Danio rerio: one gene and its partner. The protein of the gene in region 1 purifies or fractionates together with the protein of each later gene. This does not show direct contact. Links are inferred from orthologs where the notes say so. Each region holds a gene or a part of one and is shown on either strand. Other genes may lie near its edges.

What was found. Proteins that work in one complex are often made in the same cells at the same time.
Region 2: the proteins of cdc27 (region 1) and nek2 purify together in Homo sapiens (affinity purification with mass spectrometry; 6 studies listed by BioGRID and IntAct, with this or other methods). This does not show direct contact. The link is inferred for Danio rerio from reciprocal best matches to the Homo sapiens genes CDC27 and NEK2.

The regions. Positions count from the first base shown.
Region 1 is NC_133178.1:20,780,429-20,788,304, forward strand, and holds part of cdc27 (cell division cycle protein 27 homolog), read left to right. Parts: intron 1-2,133; coding exon 2,134-2,249; intron 2,250-2,326; coding exon 2,327-2,426; intron 2,427-2,672; coding exon 2,673-2,877; intron 2,878-5,372; coding exon 5,373-5,545; intron 5,546-5,666; coding exon 5,667-5,819; intron 5,820-5,915; coding exon 5,916-6,124; intron 6,125-6,273; coding exon 6,274-6,391; intron 6,392-6,519; coding exon 6,520-6,648; intron 6,649-7,876. UniProt on the Homo sapiens protein: Component of the anaphase promoting complex/cyclosome (APC/C), a cell cycle-regulated E3 ubiquitin ligase that controls progression through mitosis and the G1 phase of the cell cycle.
Region 2 is NC_133195.1:15,124,064-15,129,751, forward strand, and holds part of nek2 (serine/threonine-protein kinase Nek2), read left to right. Parts: intron 1-421; coding exon 422-504; intron 505-842; coding exon 843-969; intron 970-3,515; coding exon 3,516-3,738; intron 3,739-5,688. UniProt on the Homo sapiens protein: Protein kinase which is involved in the control of centrosome separation and bipolar spindle formation in mitotic cells and chromatin condensation in meiotic cells.

The sequences.
Region 1 (7,876 bases):
TTGTGTGGAATTATTTTGGGAGCATCATAACTAAAAATTTAATATGTGAAATAAAATATCTTTTATTTAATGTTTACAATGCAAATCCATCAAGTCTCTCATATCATATATCTACTTATAGGTAGAAAATATTACTTTACAAACTGTATTGTAAATCAAATGAACACTTTTTTTTATATTAGTCAATATTATTACTGAAATTTATTTAAAAACTGAAATATAAATTGTCACATTTACACATTACATTACACATTTTTCTGCATGCACAGATTCCTTTGGGCCTAACTGTAAGGCCTTAAACGTGCAGTATCAGTTGTTGTTGTTGTTGTTTAAGTCCCTGATCAATAATTTGCACATCAATATATTTTCTGTATTTGTTAGGGATATGACATTTTTACATCTTGAGATGTGGGAGTCTGAGCAAAAAATAATATAATCAATAAATTAGTTCTTTGTAAGGAAATGCAACACACATACAGCTTTATTTAAAAGACAAAATTAGTTTTCCCTCCTACCATTTCTACAAAGGTTTTCAACTGCAGAAACTTTAAAGAAGTGTAATTTTACATGTAAATCCTTTAAGTCTTCAATTTACTAAAATATTGTCTTGTAGGTCTGAATTTTTTTTTAAACGGGTCTTAATCTTCCTTTGTTTATTTTGTTTAAGCTACCCAATTGATCCAACACGTATTCAATCACCAACAGTACATGGCAAAGCTGTTCATAACTAATATTATACCAGTCTGTTGTGCATACCTTTAGCTTTTAAAGAGTTTAAGTTATGTTGAAAAAAAAAATGTACGTATTCTACTAAGGTCTCCTTGTTTTGACACATTATTTCAAATTTGTGGCTTAAAAATCTGCTGGGCTATTTAAAAAATCCTTAGCGTTTTGCCTTTTATATATCTGTAATTTCATTCTTCATAGTTTTAATGTCTTAAAATGTCTTAATTTTCTTGATGAAACCTGCAGTAACCCTGTTTAAAAAAAATGTGTGTAGCTTTTTATCAAAAGTAAGGCCTGATTACAATTTTACCACTCAGGCCTTCACCTTACCCCTACCCCTTGTTTTGCCTGTTCACGTGAAGGGGTAGGGGTGGAGGTGTCCCGATTCTCTTTACCTTGAAGGCATAGGGCTAAGGGGAGGGGCTACATATCCCTACAAACTGATATTTTTCAGGACCACACTCTAAACCAGTGGGTTAGAAAATACACCATATAAAATGGCGTCATGACTGCACACAGAAGTCAGGACATGCACAAATTAGTATGTTTTTTTTTTTTTTCATTATTTTGAATTTACAACAAACAAGCATATGTTTTAATACATTTATAACGCAGTTCATGCTTTATTGTCATGCTTTAAAAAAAAAGCTAAAATAAAAACTGCTAAATTTCGCTATCTATAATCTCTAATAATAACTCTTGTACTGCGTATGTTTACATAGATGAATCTGGCCGCTATAATGCACAGTACAGTTATGATCTATTACCACATTATATCGTTATGATGACATAACATATGCCTTTAGTGATTTCCAGAAGATAAATACCAAAAAATAACGCAACTGGAAAAACTACAGCAGTCACAATCGTCTGATCTCATATAAAGCAAGAGATCGCAATGACGTATGATGACATGTGCAGGTGCTGTAGTGCTGTCCCGTTTCTTAGGGGTAAATCTTAAAGCCCTTCGCATTCACACCTGATTTCAAGGCCTAAGGGGAAGGGTAGAGGTAAAAAAATAGAATTGGGCTTGGGACAAAGTTTTAGATTTGATCTTATAAAGTATTCATTGTTGATGTGTGTTTTTTTTTTATTGTTATAAGCCTATGTGTTATAGAAAAGTGTAATTTAATAAACCGTTTGTAAACTGCTTTAGTCAAATTGCAGTGGCCATTTAAAGCTGATAATAAACTCTGAAGTCTCGCTTCCATCCCTACTAAATTGGCTTGTGAAGTACACGTAATGGCATGATTTTATATCTTATTTTTAACTGTTTTGGGTTGTCTGTAGAGGGCACTTTGTTTCTCTCTCTGTTTGTAATGCAGCTGTCAACATTCTGAATTCAATTTATGAGATCATGTAAATAATGTCTTGAAAATAAATTCAATAATTAAATTTTAATTTCAGGCTGTCAGTAGAATCAGAACAGTGGGGACGAAGTCAGTGTTTGCACAAAGTGGCAACAGCAGAGAGGTCATTCCAAACCCCTTTATCCAAACTCAGACTACTGCTCCACAGACCAGGTACATCACCACACATTTATACAGGCAGTTTATGGCTGTAGCGATGGCTTCTGATGATCTCTCTTTCTGGTTTTTAGTACTACACCGCAAGTGCTGAGCCAAACCATTGCTGCTCCCCCAAATGTGCAGCCACGGCGGAGCTCAAGACTCTTCACCAGTGCCAGCTCCACTGCCAAGGTAATCTTTTTACGCATACAAATTCTAACATGCACTTCTTAAAACCTTTTAAGGTACAGTTCACCACAAAATCATTATCATTGTTTGTTCCAATCCTGTGTACATTTATTCGTTCTGCTAAACACAAAGGAAGATATTTGTAAGCATGTCAGTCACCAAACAGATCTTGGGACCTTTGTTGATATCTCATAGGAAGACATTCACTCAAAGTCTTATGAATACATTATCAATGTTTAAACCAAACAGGAGAACAGTAAGAAGCTGAAAATGAAGTTCCCCACCAAGATTCCTAACCGAAAGACCAAAACGAAAACGGGTAAGGGAGGAATCACCCCATCTAATCTGAATGAGAGCATCGAGATCCTCAAGTTAGATTCATCCTTATCAGAGGGCAAAGGCAACATCAGTTCACCGCAGTTCCAGGCTTTTAATCTACAAAAGGCTGCTGCAGGTATCTGACGATTCTTCACCTTTTTTTTTTAAGGGGTTAAGTGAATTGCAACTAACAACGTATTGTTCATGCTGCTCACAATTACACGCAATGGAGACTGTTCTTTTGATTGAAAACTACTTAAACCTTAGAAAATTAAAAATGTGTAATCTACTGATCATATACCATAAAATACAAATTATATACTGAAAAAAATATACTGTTTGCAAACAGACTAAACTCAGTGATAAAACTCAGGGATGCAACGATTATAAATTTTAGTTGTAAGATTATAGTCTAAGCAATAATCACGATTATACATTCAGTAATTTCAAAACACACATTTCTCTTTGGACTTAAAAAGAAGTGAAAGTGAAATTTTAAACTGAAAATAAATGACAGAACAATGAATAAGTAAATAAGAACAAATGTAGTCAGAGGCTGCTAAACCCCTGTCTGAAAGGCACTTTTGATCAACTATATTATGAACATGTTTCGAATTTATTATTATTTTTTTTCTGGAGTAGAATATTTATATTCCATACAAAATATGAAGCTAAATGGTTCTTGTCATGTGACTTGTGGTGCGCTCACGCAATTCTTTCACAGGGCTCGAAATTAACCTTTTTTTATTGGTAGCAGCGGTGCTCCTAACTTCAGAAATTTAGGCGCACCAGGCAAAATTTAGGAGCACCTACCAACAATTATGAGCACCGTTACTATTATATTAAATAAGTTTTGTATTAACAAATGTATTGCATTTGAAATGAACTATAATCAAAACTAACAAACGAAAAACAATATGCATGAGCCCACTGGCTCTGCACGCACTGCTTGATGTGAATGGGATGAACAGAGTTAACAATAATAACTTTGCTGTTCTCATGGGTGGTTTCTGACATTGCACACATGATTTTAACATATAACTAATTTGCATACGTCATCTTAATAGCAATAACGGTCTTTCGATGAGATGCAGTAGTTTAATCTCAGTGAATGCATGCTCTTTTGCGATGGTGAATGCGGTACCAGTCGCACGACTGACAGCATTGTGAGGATTTAATGGATGAAACAACGTTAGAAGATCTCGTGCTTAAAATGTGTTGATGTGGCAAACACGGTTACCTGAAAACTGTCCAACCAGCTTTACAGTGAATGCTTTCATCATTTTCATAGCGGACTTTAACCCACTGGAAGTCTTGTATCCACTCTTAGAAAAAGTATAAATAGTGGATTAACATTCACTCCATGATCACTAATCAGATGTGCCATTATTTGTAAGTTCAGGTGATTTCTAAAACAAAATCTCTCAGTGTTATTTTTATTGTCTCTTATCCAGACCTTTATGCTTTCGTGGCTGTAGCTCCCGGTCATCTGAATTGAGTGATTGACAGCTGATATTAACCAATCCATTCGTGTTGTGTTTTAGAGCAGGAGGCCAATCAGAAGAGCTTAAAGACGGGGCAAGCATTGTGGGATTTGTTTACTGCAGCAAGTTCACATGTCAACTGTTTTAAACTTTTCTTGAGCGCTGTGTTTGGTGCAAAGATGCCTTCTGCATGAATTTTCTTAAATACGTGCATGCGATTAACATTTTGCAGTGAAAACTGGTCGCACGGCAACAATTTATGCACTCGCCCAAATGCTACAAAATATATATTTGAAGTCGCATCGATAAAATTTTGGGCCCATATGAGACCAATTTCAAGCCCTGTTTCAACTATGTGCGCCTGAAAAGCTTGAGCGCGTTGTGTGCACGTCACTCCCAATATGCTCGCAAAAAAAAGAAATATCGAACTTTAGCACACAAAAGATGCGACATGTGAACGGCCCTTAGTTAATATCCTCAGCCATAGCTAATCCATTGTACGTGCATATTAGCCATTGTGTACAAGCTCTGAACTTTAAACAAGCGCACAGTTGCAGGAACGTTTAGTTGCACCAGTTTTGTTCTTTGCAGAAACACGATGTTGAGAAACTTATGTTTAATTAACCGTGACAAATTAAAGTGGTTAATAGTGAAAATGGTTAATCGTTGTATCCCTACTTGCGTTTGGTGCTTTCATTTCTATAACAAATTAAACAAAATAAAATTACATGGTGAGAACACTGTTTTTTTTTTTTTTTTTTTTTTTTTTTTTAAAGCATATTATCATAGTGATCCATGACGTTACAGGGTAATTAAAACAAAATTGTGGTGATAAGAAGAGTATTTGAGACTATATACTTTCTTACTTTGATTATAGTTTGAATTATTCCCATTTATTTGTAGAACAACTTTACAGTACAAAACTAAACATGCTGCATTATCCTGAACATTATAAGCATTTCATTGTCGTAGAGACTTATGTATAAAGTTGAAAGTACATTATTTATATTATTAATTCATGCTTTTTTGTGTTAGATTTTGAGCTACTACTTAATTTTCTCTTTGGGCTACTTAATTTTTCTCTTTTCTCTTGTATTTGAGCAACACCCTGAAGCAGGTTGCTGATTTTGTTTGCGGTTTTCTTTAGACGGGCTGATGACCCTGATGCGGGATATTGGGAGGGGATATCTTGCTCTCTGCTCTTATAACTGCCGAGAGGCCATTAACATCTTGAGTCAGCTACCTTCACACCATTACAACACGGGCTGGGTGCTGGGTCAGATCGGGCGAGCACACTTTGAACTGGCTGAATACATGCAGGTGAGTCTGCGTTGCAGAAATGAGGTGAAATCAATTACCAAAGGCATTCAAATTATAATGGCAAGTAGTGGAAAATGTTTTTGTTTGTTCTCACAGAAGATATTTTTGTCTGTTTAATTAGGCGGAGAGGATTTTTTCAGAAGTCCGACGTATAGAGAGCTATCGAGTAGAGGGTATGGACATCTACTCAACAACACTTTGGCATTTACAAAAGGATGTGGCACTTTCTGCCCTATCTAAAGACCTCACTGACATGGACAAAAACTCACCTGAGGTAAGTTTATCAAGGCAGTAATGCAATTATTAGTTGGAATATTATTCAGTTCAGTAAATCAGCTGCTTATCTTTTTGTTTTTCCACCTCTTTACAGCCCTGGTGTGTAGTTGGTAACTGTTTCAGCTTACAGCGGGAGCATGACATCGCCATTAAGTTCTTCACACGGGCCATCCAGGTGGACCCCAGCTTTGCTTACGCTTATACACTATTAGGGCATGAACTGGTTCTCACAGAGGAGCTGGAGAAAGCCCTGGGTTGCTTCCGCAATGCTATACGCCTCAATAAACGTCACTACAATGCCTGGTATGTTTGTTACTTTACATGACACCAAAAAAAAACCATTAAATAAGTCGTTCACTCACAATCATTTTACTTATCCAGTTGTCTGACAGATAAGTACCATCTGCTATTTCAGAAGCAAAAAGACTTCATCTTTCTGTCTCTTACCACAGGTATGGCTTGGGAATGATTTATTATAAGCAGGAGAAGTTTAATCTAGCCGAGATTCATTTCAAGAAAGCTTTTAGCATCAATCCTCAGAGCTCTGTGCTACTCTGTCATATCGGAGTGGTGAGTAAATCAGCCTTTATGTACTTTTTGGTTATGCATAAAACATAACATGATAATCACTGTTTAAAATTTCTGATAGGATTTTTGCTGTGCTGCATCTTCATATTGTTTCTCATGTACTCTGTCAGGTTCAACATGCTTTGAAGAAATCAGACCATGCACTGGAGACCCTTAACAGAGCCATTAGCATCGACCCTAAGAATCCGCTATGCAAATTCCATAGGGCCTCAATTCTGTTTGCCAATGAAAAGTACAAGGTACTGCTCTACTTGTACTATAATGTTAGGTGCAGTGAGTGATTTCTGAGAAACTCTGTTATATTTGAAATCTGACATCAAAGCAAAAATACACCGCCCCTTAATACTTAAACATGCAAAACAACAGGCAACCGCTACTGCAGAGTGAACCATATGCAGTTTAATAGTTCTTTACGATTGTTGCTCGTCAATCTATTCACCTTATTCTACGTGTATGAGCGAGCACAGCCGTTTGAATCTTTTTGGCTGGAGACTGCTGGTCTCATTCACTTCCATTCATTTTTGTGACATTAAAAACCGTTCTTTCTTCTGCTTGATGTTGCAAACTGATCTTTTTTTGTTTTACTATTCTGCTTCGTCCGTGTTGTCATGAACATACTTGCTTATAGAGGACCGTTTATTTGCCGTTTATTATTCCTAGTCATTTCTCCGATAGACGACTGAATCAGAAGTTCTTAAACAATCGCAAAAACGAGTGCACTATCACATTTAAGAATAGGGTCAATATCAGGGGTGCTCAAACGTTTCCTATGCATGGCCAAAACCAAACATAATTGACCCTTCGCTAAGCCCTGCCCAATAACTGCCACCCACCAATCGTGGCTTAGCAACTGTAGCTACGCGCAGGGGCTCTGTCAAGTTTTCGAGCGAGTGCATATGGATTGTGCAAATCTGATACCCGGTATCCTTAGAGTTTGGACTGGGCGGTGGAATTTTTCCCCTTTTCAAAACCTAAAATCCAAAAGGAGAAATACTAGCGTGGATCAAGCAGTGTGAGGGGCACTAAAAGAGCAGAGCTAAGTTGATTTTGTTTTGATATTCCTGACACATTCAGTGACAGACAGACGGCAATAACTCACAAACCTCTTACCCTAAACAGAACTAAACTGTGTTTCCTACAAAAACACAAAGCTGGTTATGTTTCACAGCTTTCTTATTCCTTTTTTTTTTTTGCTCTATTGTGAGTAATGCTCCGTTTAAGCCTTCGCCATAACGTTAGTAACTTAGTCATAATAGCGAATAAGTCATAATGACAAGAGTTATTGATTCGGAAAATACAAATCTGCGAATCTGTTGCTAACTTTACTGAACGTCATATTTCCATCTGTTTCAAGCTATGAATATTAGAAATGACAAATTAGCAGAACAAAACCGAGATATGATCACAAACTGAGCAGCAGATCAATATACTTTACCCGCAGCTGCTGTTTTTCAGTCATTTATAAAG
Region 2 (5,688 bases), on another chromosome or scaffold:
CACACACACACACACACACACATTATGGCCAATTAAGTTCATCCAATTCAGCTATAGCGCATGTCTTTGGACTGTGGGTGAAAACGGAGCTCCCAGAGGAAACCCACGTGAACATGGGGAGAACATGCAAACTCCACACAGAAATGCCAACTGGTCCAGCTAAGACTCGAAGCAACAGTGCTAACCACTGTGGCACCTGTCCTTTATATTTATGCATACTAAAATCAAACAGATTAATGGTGTACAGTTATTTTGGACCAAGTTCTTTCAAGTACAATTCTGTGTGCCTGGAAAGAATATCATCCTCAGATACCTAGAACAATTTTTCGTTGTCAAATCTTCATGTCTTGGCATGCATAAGTATTTATCTGTGTACCAGTTTCATCATGTTTTATTAACACCTTTTCTCTTACGTTCACAGGAACAAATGAATCGCATGTCCTATAATGAGAAATCGGATATATGGTCTTTAGGGTGTTTACTCTATGAACTATGTGCTTTATCGTAAGTATAAATGTATTCTTGTTCTCCTCAGTTTTTTTAATACTGTGTACATTGACTGAATTTAAAGGGATAGTTTAAGCCAAAAAATAAAAATTCTAGCAATATTTACTCACAATTCACTTGTTCCAAAACTGTTTGAGCTGTTTTTTTCTGTAGTACACAAAAGATATTTTGAAGAATGTTGGGGAAAAACTTCAACAGTATGTCAAAGGGTGCTTTCCCCCCCACGTTCTTAAGAATATCTTTTGTCTTCAACAGGTGAAAGAAATTTAAAAGTATATAAAAGTTTAGAACTGATTGAGTGTGAGTTAATGAGAAATTTTATTTATTTTTTTTAGGCCCCCATTTACAGCATACAACCAGACAGAGCTGGCTCGAAAAATCAGAGAAGGCAGATTTCGAAGAATCCCATACCGATACTCGGATGAGCTAAACACACTGCTTTCAAAAATGCTCAACTTAAAGGTAAATATTGGTGAGGGTAAAGTATGCAACAGTCTGAAAGTAACAACACCACTCATTGTCTTCATTGTGAATTCAATTGTATTGTATAACAGCTGAATTTGTGGAACAACTGTATCTGTAGTAAACAATATCCATGACCCTGTTTTTCACAGTGGAATATGGGATCTCCACCTTCATCTGCAAGCATATTAATTTTATTTTATCTGTGCATTTATGTTTCTACTCTAACATTGAACTGTCTTAAAAGTTAAGATTAAAAACACTATATCTACCTTCTACCAAAAAGTGCATTTCAACACCATTTCAAACATGTGATTCAATTATTTACAATATAAAAGTATGCTGTTTGTTCACAAAACATACAGTACATTCACCGGCCACTTTATTAGATACACCTTACTAGTACCGGGTTGGGCCCCTTTTTGCCTTCAGGACTGCCTTAATCCTTCGTGGCAAAGATTCAACAAGGTTCTCGAAATATTCCTCAGAAATTTTGGTCCATATTGACTTCATAGCATCACACAGTAAGTTGCTGCAGATTTTTTGGCTGCACATCCATAATGCAAATCTCTCATTCCACCACATCTCAAAGGTGCTTTATTGGATTGAGATCTGGTTACTGTGTGGACCATTTGAGTACAGTTCACTCGCGGTTTAGGACATGGCATGTTATCCTGCTGGAAGTAGCCATCAGAAAATGGGTACACTGTGGTCATAAAGACATGGACATGGTCAGCAACAACACTCGGGTAGACTATGGCATTGACACGATTGCTCAATTGGTACTAATGGGCCCAAAGTGTGCCAAAAAAATATCCCCTACACCATTACACCACTAGCCTGAACTGTTGATGCAAGGCAGGATGGATCCAGGCTCCAGGGGTTATATGAGTTACTGTTGTCTTTCTATCAGCTGGAACTAGTCTGGCCATTCTCCTCTGACATTCAACAAGACGTTTGTGCCCACAGACCTGCTGCTCACTGGATATTTTTTTATTTTTCAGTCCATTTTCTGTAAACCCTACAGAAGATAGTTGTTGCTGAAATTCCCAGTAGATCAGCAGTTTCTGAAATACTCAGACCACCCTGTCTGGCTCCAACATCTATGCCACATTCTTAAATCACCTTTCTTCCCCATTCTGATGCTCAGTTTGAACTGCAGCACATCGTTTTTAACTTGTCTACATGCATAAATGCAGAGTTGCGGCTATGTGATTGGCTGGTTAGAAATTTGCGTTAAGGAGCAGTTGGACAGGTGTACCTAATAAAGTGGCCAGTGAATGTAGATTTGTTTTCAAAGTCAGTGCATGTCATAAGTGAATTAATTAGCTTATTTAATGCAGTTTTTTTTTTAGCTTTATTAACACCTAAATTGAATGAGTTTGGCACCCTGTTACTAAACTTACCGACATGTCTTGTAACTAAAATACAACAACTCGCAGTATACAGTTAAACAGAGTAACTTAACAATGAGTAAAGTTTTCCTTTACAGTTGCCCATGTGGTAATTTGTAATGTTTTAACTAACTACTATTCTACCAGTCACAGTTTTGCATTAAGGGTATAAAATGGCATCTTGGCACGGTGACATTACATTATCATTTAGCATCAAATTAATCTGCTTTTAGTAACTTCCTTGGCCAACACTGGTTGAGTAACATTACAATCTCATGACTGACTGATTATTTTAGTGAGATGCCATTTGCTTCAGTAAGTTGTACTGTTCCCCTAACCTACTTGAATGATCATTTTGTGGTTTTGTCATTTGTGTTGTATCTGTAACTACTTTAAATAACGTTCACATTCTACTTTATCTCCTCACTGACCGCAGTTGGACAGCCCAGAGGCCTGAAAGCTCCACTCAGTTTTCAATATTAACTGTTTTTAAAAAAAAAATAGAATTATAAAGGTCATACAGATGATGAATTATAATTAATAAGTTTGATGGTTTTATGCTTCAAGTCTGCATAACGCGGCAGTTAAGATTGTTCTTTTTTCCTATATTTTGACATGCTTCCAAATGAAACTGTCATAAAATGAGAAATTAATGTCAGGGAGTGCTTGATATCATCCATTGGGAGGTGGTTGGAATATGGACATTAGTAAGGACAAATGGGTGAACCAAGAACCGCACTGATTGTTTCACCCTAAATGCATTCCATGTGATCAGAAGTGAAGTCATTTTAAGGGGAGAGGGTAGGTTATGATATTTTATTAAAGATTCTGAGAGAATTTTTAAGAAATAATCTAGTGCACATTTGCATTGTTATAGCAAACACAACTATAAACTTATATAAAAATAATATTACATTTTGATTCCATGCCAACTTTATAGCACATTTTAATTTAAGATTATCAAACAGATTGCTCTGAGGATGTCTGCCTGCATGTTTTAGCATATAATTACCATTTTCATACATTGGCTGAATGTTTGAAACATGTTTAACACATCGTTAGCATGTATTTTTACTTCAGATGTTGACTACTATATATTGCAGAATGTGTTTGGGCACATCCTGACTGGTGGTCTTTTTTTTTTTTTGTCAGGACTATCTGAGGCCCTCTGTGGAGTCCATCCTGCAGAATGGTTTGATCTCCGGTTACGTGGCCCTCGAGCAGAAGAGGCTCCAGGAGAAACAGCGGCGCAGATCAGATGAGGCAGAGCAGCCCAAACATCCAGAGTCACCACTTCTGGCAGAGCTGCGGCTTAAAGAGCAGATTCTCCGAGAGCGAGAGCAGGCCCTCAAAGAGCGAGAGCAGCGGCTAGAGCGTAAGCACACTGTTGTTGGCCTTCTGAAAGCTAAAGGGACAGTTCAAACCATTTTATTTGTGTTATGATTTACTCATCCTCCACTTGTTCCAATCCAACATTTGTTACTTTCCTTTGTTAGATCTTTTCAGGAATGTTTCAAAAAATGCCCATAGACTGTTTTCACACAGTCTCCATTTTAAAAGCAAAATCGAGGCTGCGGTGGGAAGAAACCCAAAAGTATTGCCTGGAGCTGCACAGAGATGTTGTGTAGCTGGCTGTAAATCTTATGAGCGAAGAGAAAGTGACACGAATTTATTATTTCACCCCCTTTCGAGTGACCTGAAGGTCTGTTCTGAATGGATACTAAAAATAAAGTTGATGAACTAATTCTTTCACTGTATCAGACCTATCACAATACTGAATTTTGACAGTGAAAAAATTTTAAGGATTTAAATTTCCAGCTAATAGAAGTGCTAGAATGTTCTTAAACGCAGCTGATTTGCCATTAGTGTTCACTAGTGCTCAACATAAATGACTGTGATTGGCCGTAAAGGTCATCAGTTCACTGCTGTTCACTGATGTTTACCGAGTGCAAACACAAACTGGCAATCGACTAATCTTTACGGCTTTAAGACACTCCAGTGTTTCTATATTTTTGTTTGTGAGATACTTTTACCATCTCACTCGTGGCAAGTTTAGGCGAAGGAATGTTTACCAAGTAAAACTCAGACAGTTTAGTTTATTCTGCTTTAAACCTGCAGGAAAATATCAGGGTTTGCTAAAAGACAGTTTATTTTACCATCAATCAGGGTCAATAATGGTAGCCTAGTACAGATTTCAAAGAAAAAGCCTAATATTAAAAAAGGAAACATAAGCTGGACCACAACAGATCAGCATCAAGTTTTAGATTGTGCCATCTACTATATACAGTAGACTTACAGGTCTGTTATTTTTACTAAGGAAGATACATTATTTGAGCCCCAGAACTATAGAAACTGTATTAGGTTTTAAAAAAATACATAAAAAATACGGCACAGTATCGGGATTGGGTCTGTATCGATCGATACTCAGTTTTAGTATCAGGATCGGATCGTTTCCAAAAAATGGTATCGGTGCATTCCTAGTAGACTGTTAGGTTGGGGTTAGGGTAAGTTGACATGTACTAGCAAAGTTTCTTATATAGTCAGTAAAATCTATGTTGAAGGAGCAGTATCAACAGATATTAATCAGACCGGACCATCAAAATAAATTAAACCATCAAAATAAAGTGTTACCAGTGGACTTTCAATGAAGGAACGGAAATTGGCAGAATCCATAAGTAACTTAATTTCTTTTCAGAAGACAAATAAAAGCCCTGTGGTTTTGGAAAAATTAAAGATTTTCATTTTGAAATGGATCATTATCATTTACTTGCTGTTATCAAATGCTACATCTAAAAATATTAATTGTCCTAATTTACCCACTAATTAACTTTTTTTCATTTCACTCATTAATCAAACCCACAAGAATTTTGATCCTCCTCACACAACTGAAGACTTTTGTTAGATTTGTCTAGATTTGTTGTCTGTCAGGTGAGCAGATTTGAGTTTGACCATATTTGATGTGCTACAGTAAATCCATCGATGTTTAAATGGAATTAATATCCCCAAATAAATCTATTCAAGTGTGTCTTCAGGAGACTTTAAAGGTCCTGTGAAACAAAAAAAGTTTTTTAGTTGTTAGTTAGTTTTAAGGACATCAATTAGCTATTGTTCTCCAAACAGTGACATAGTTTTCCTTTAAAAATGTTAATTTGATATAAACATACAAAGCTTGAAGTGTCACCGCAGCCTAAATGCATCAACGTTTTTATCATGTCACCTCATACTTCAGTTACTCATCAGATCTTCACCAATCAAATGCTCTCTAGTATCTGTCATGCCGGCCTGCCCCCTTCAAGACGCTTCTCGTTTGCTTTTCATTTGATGC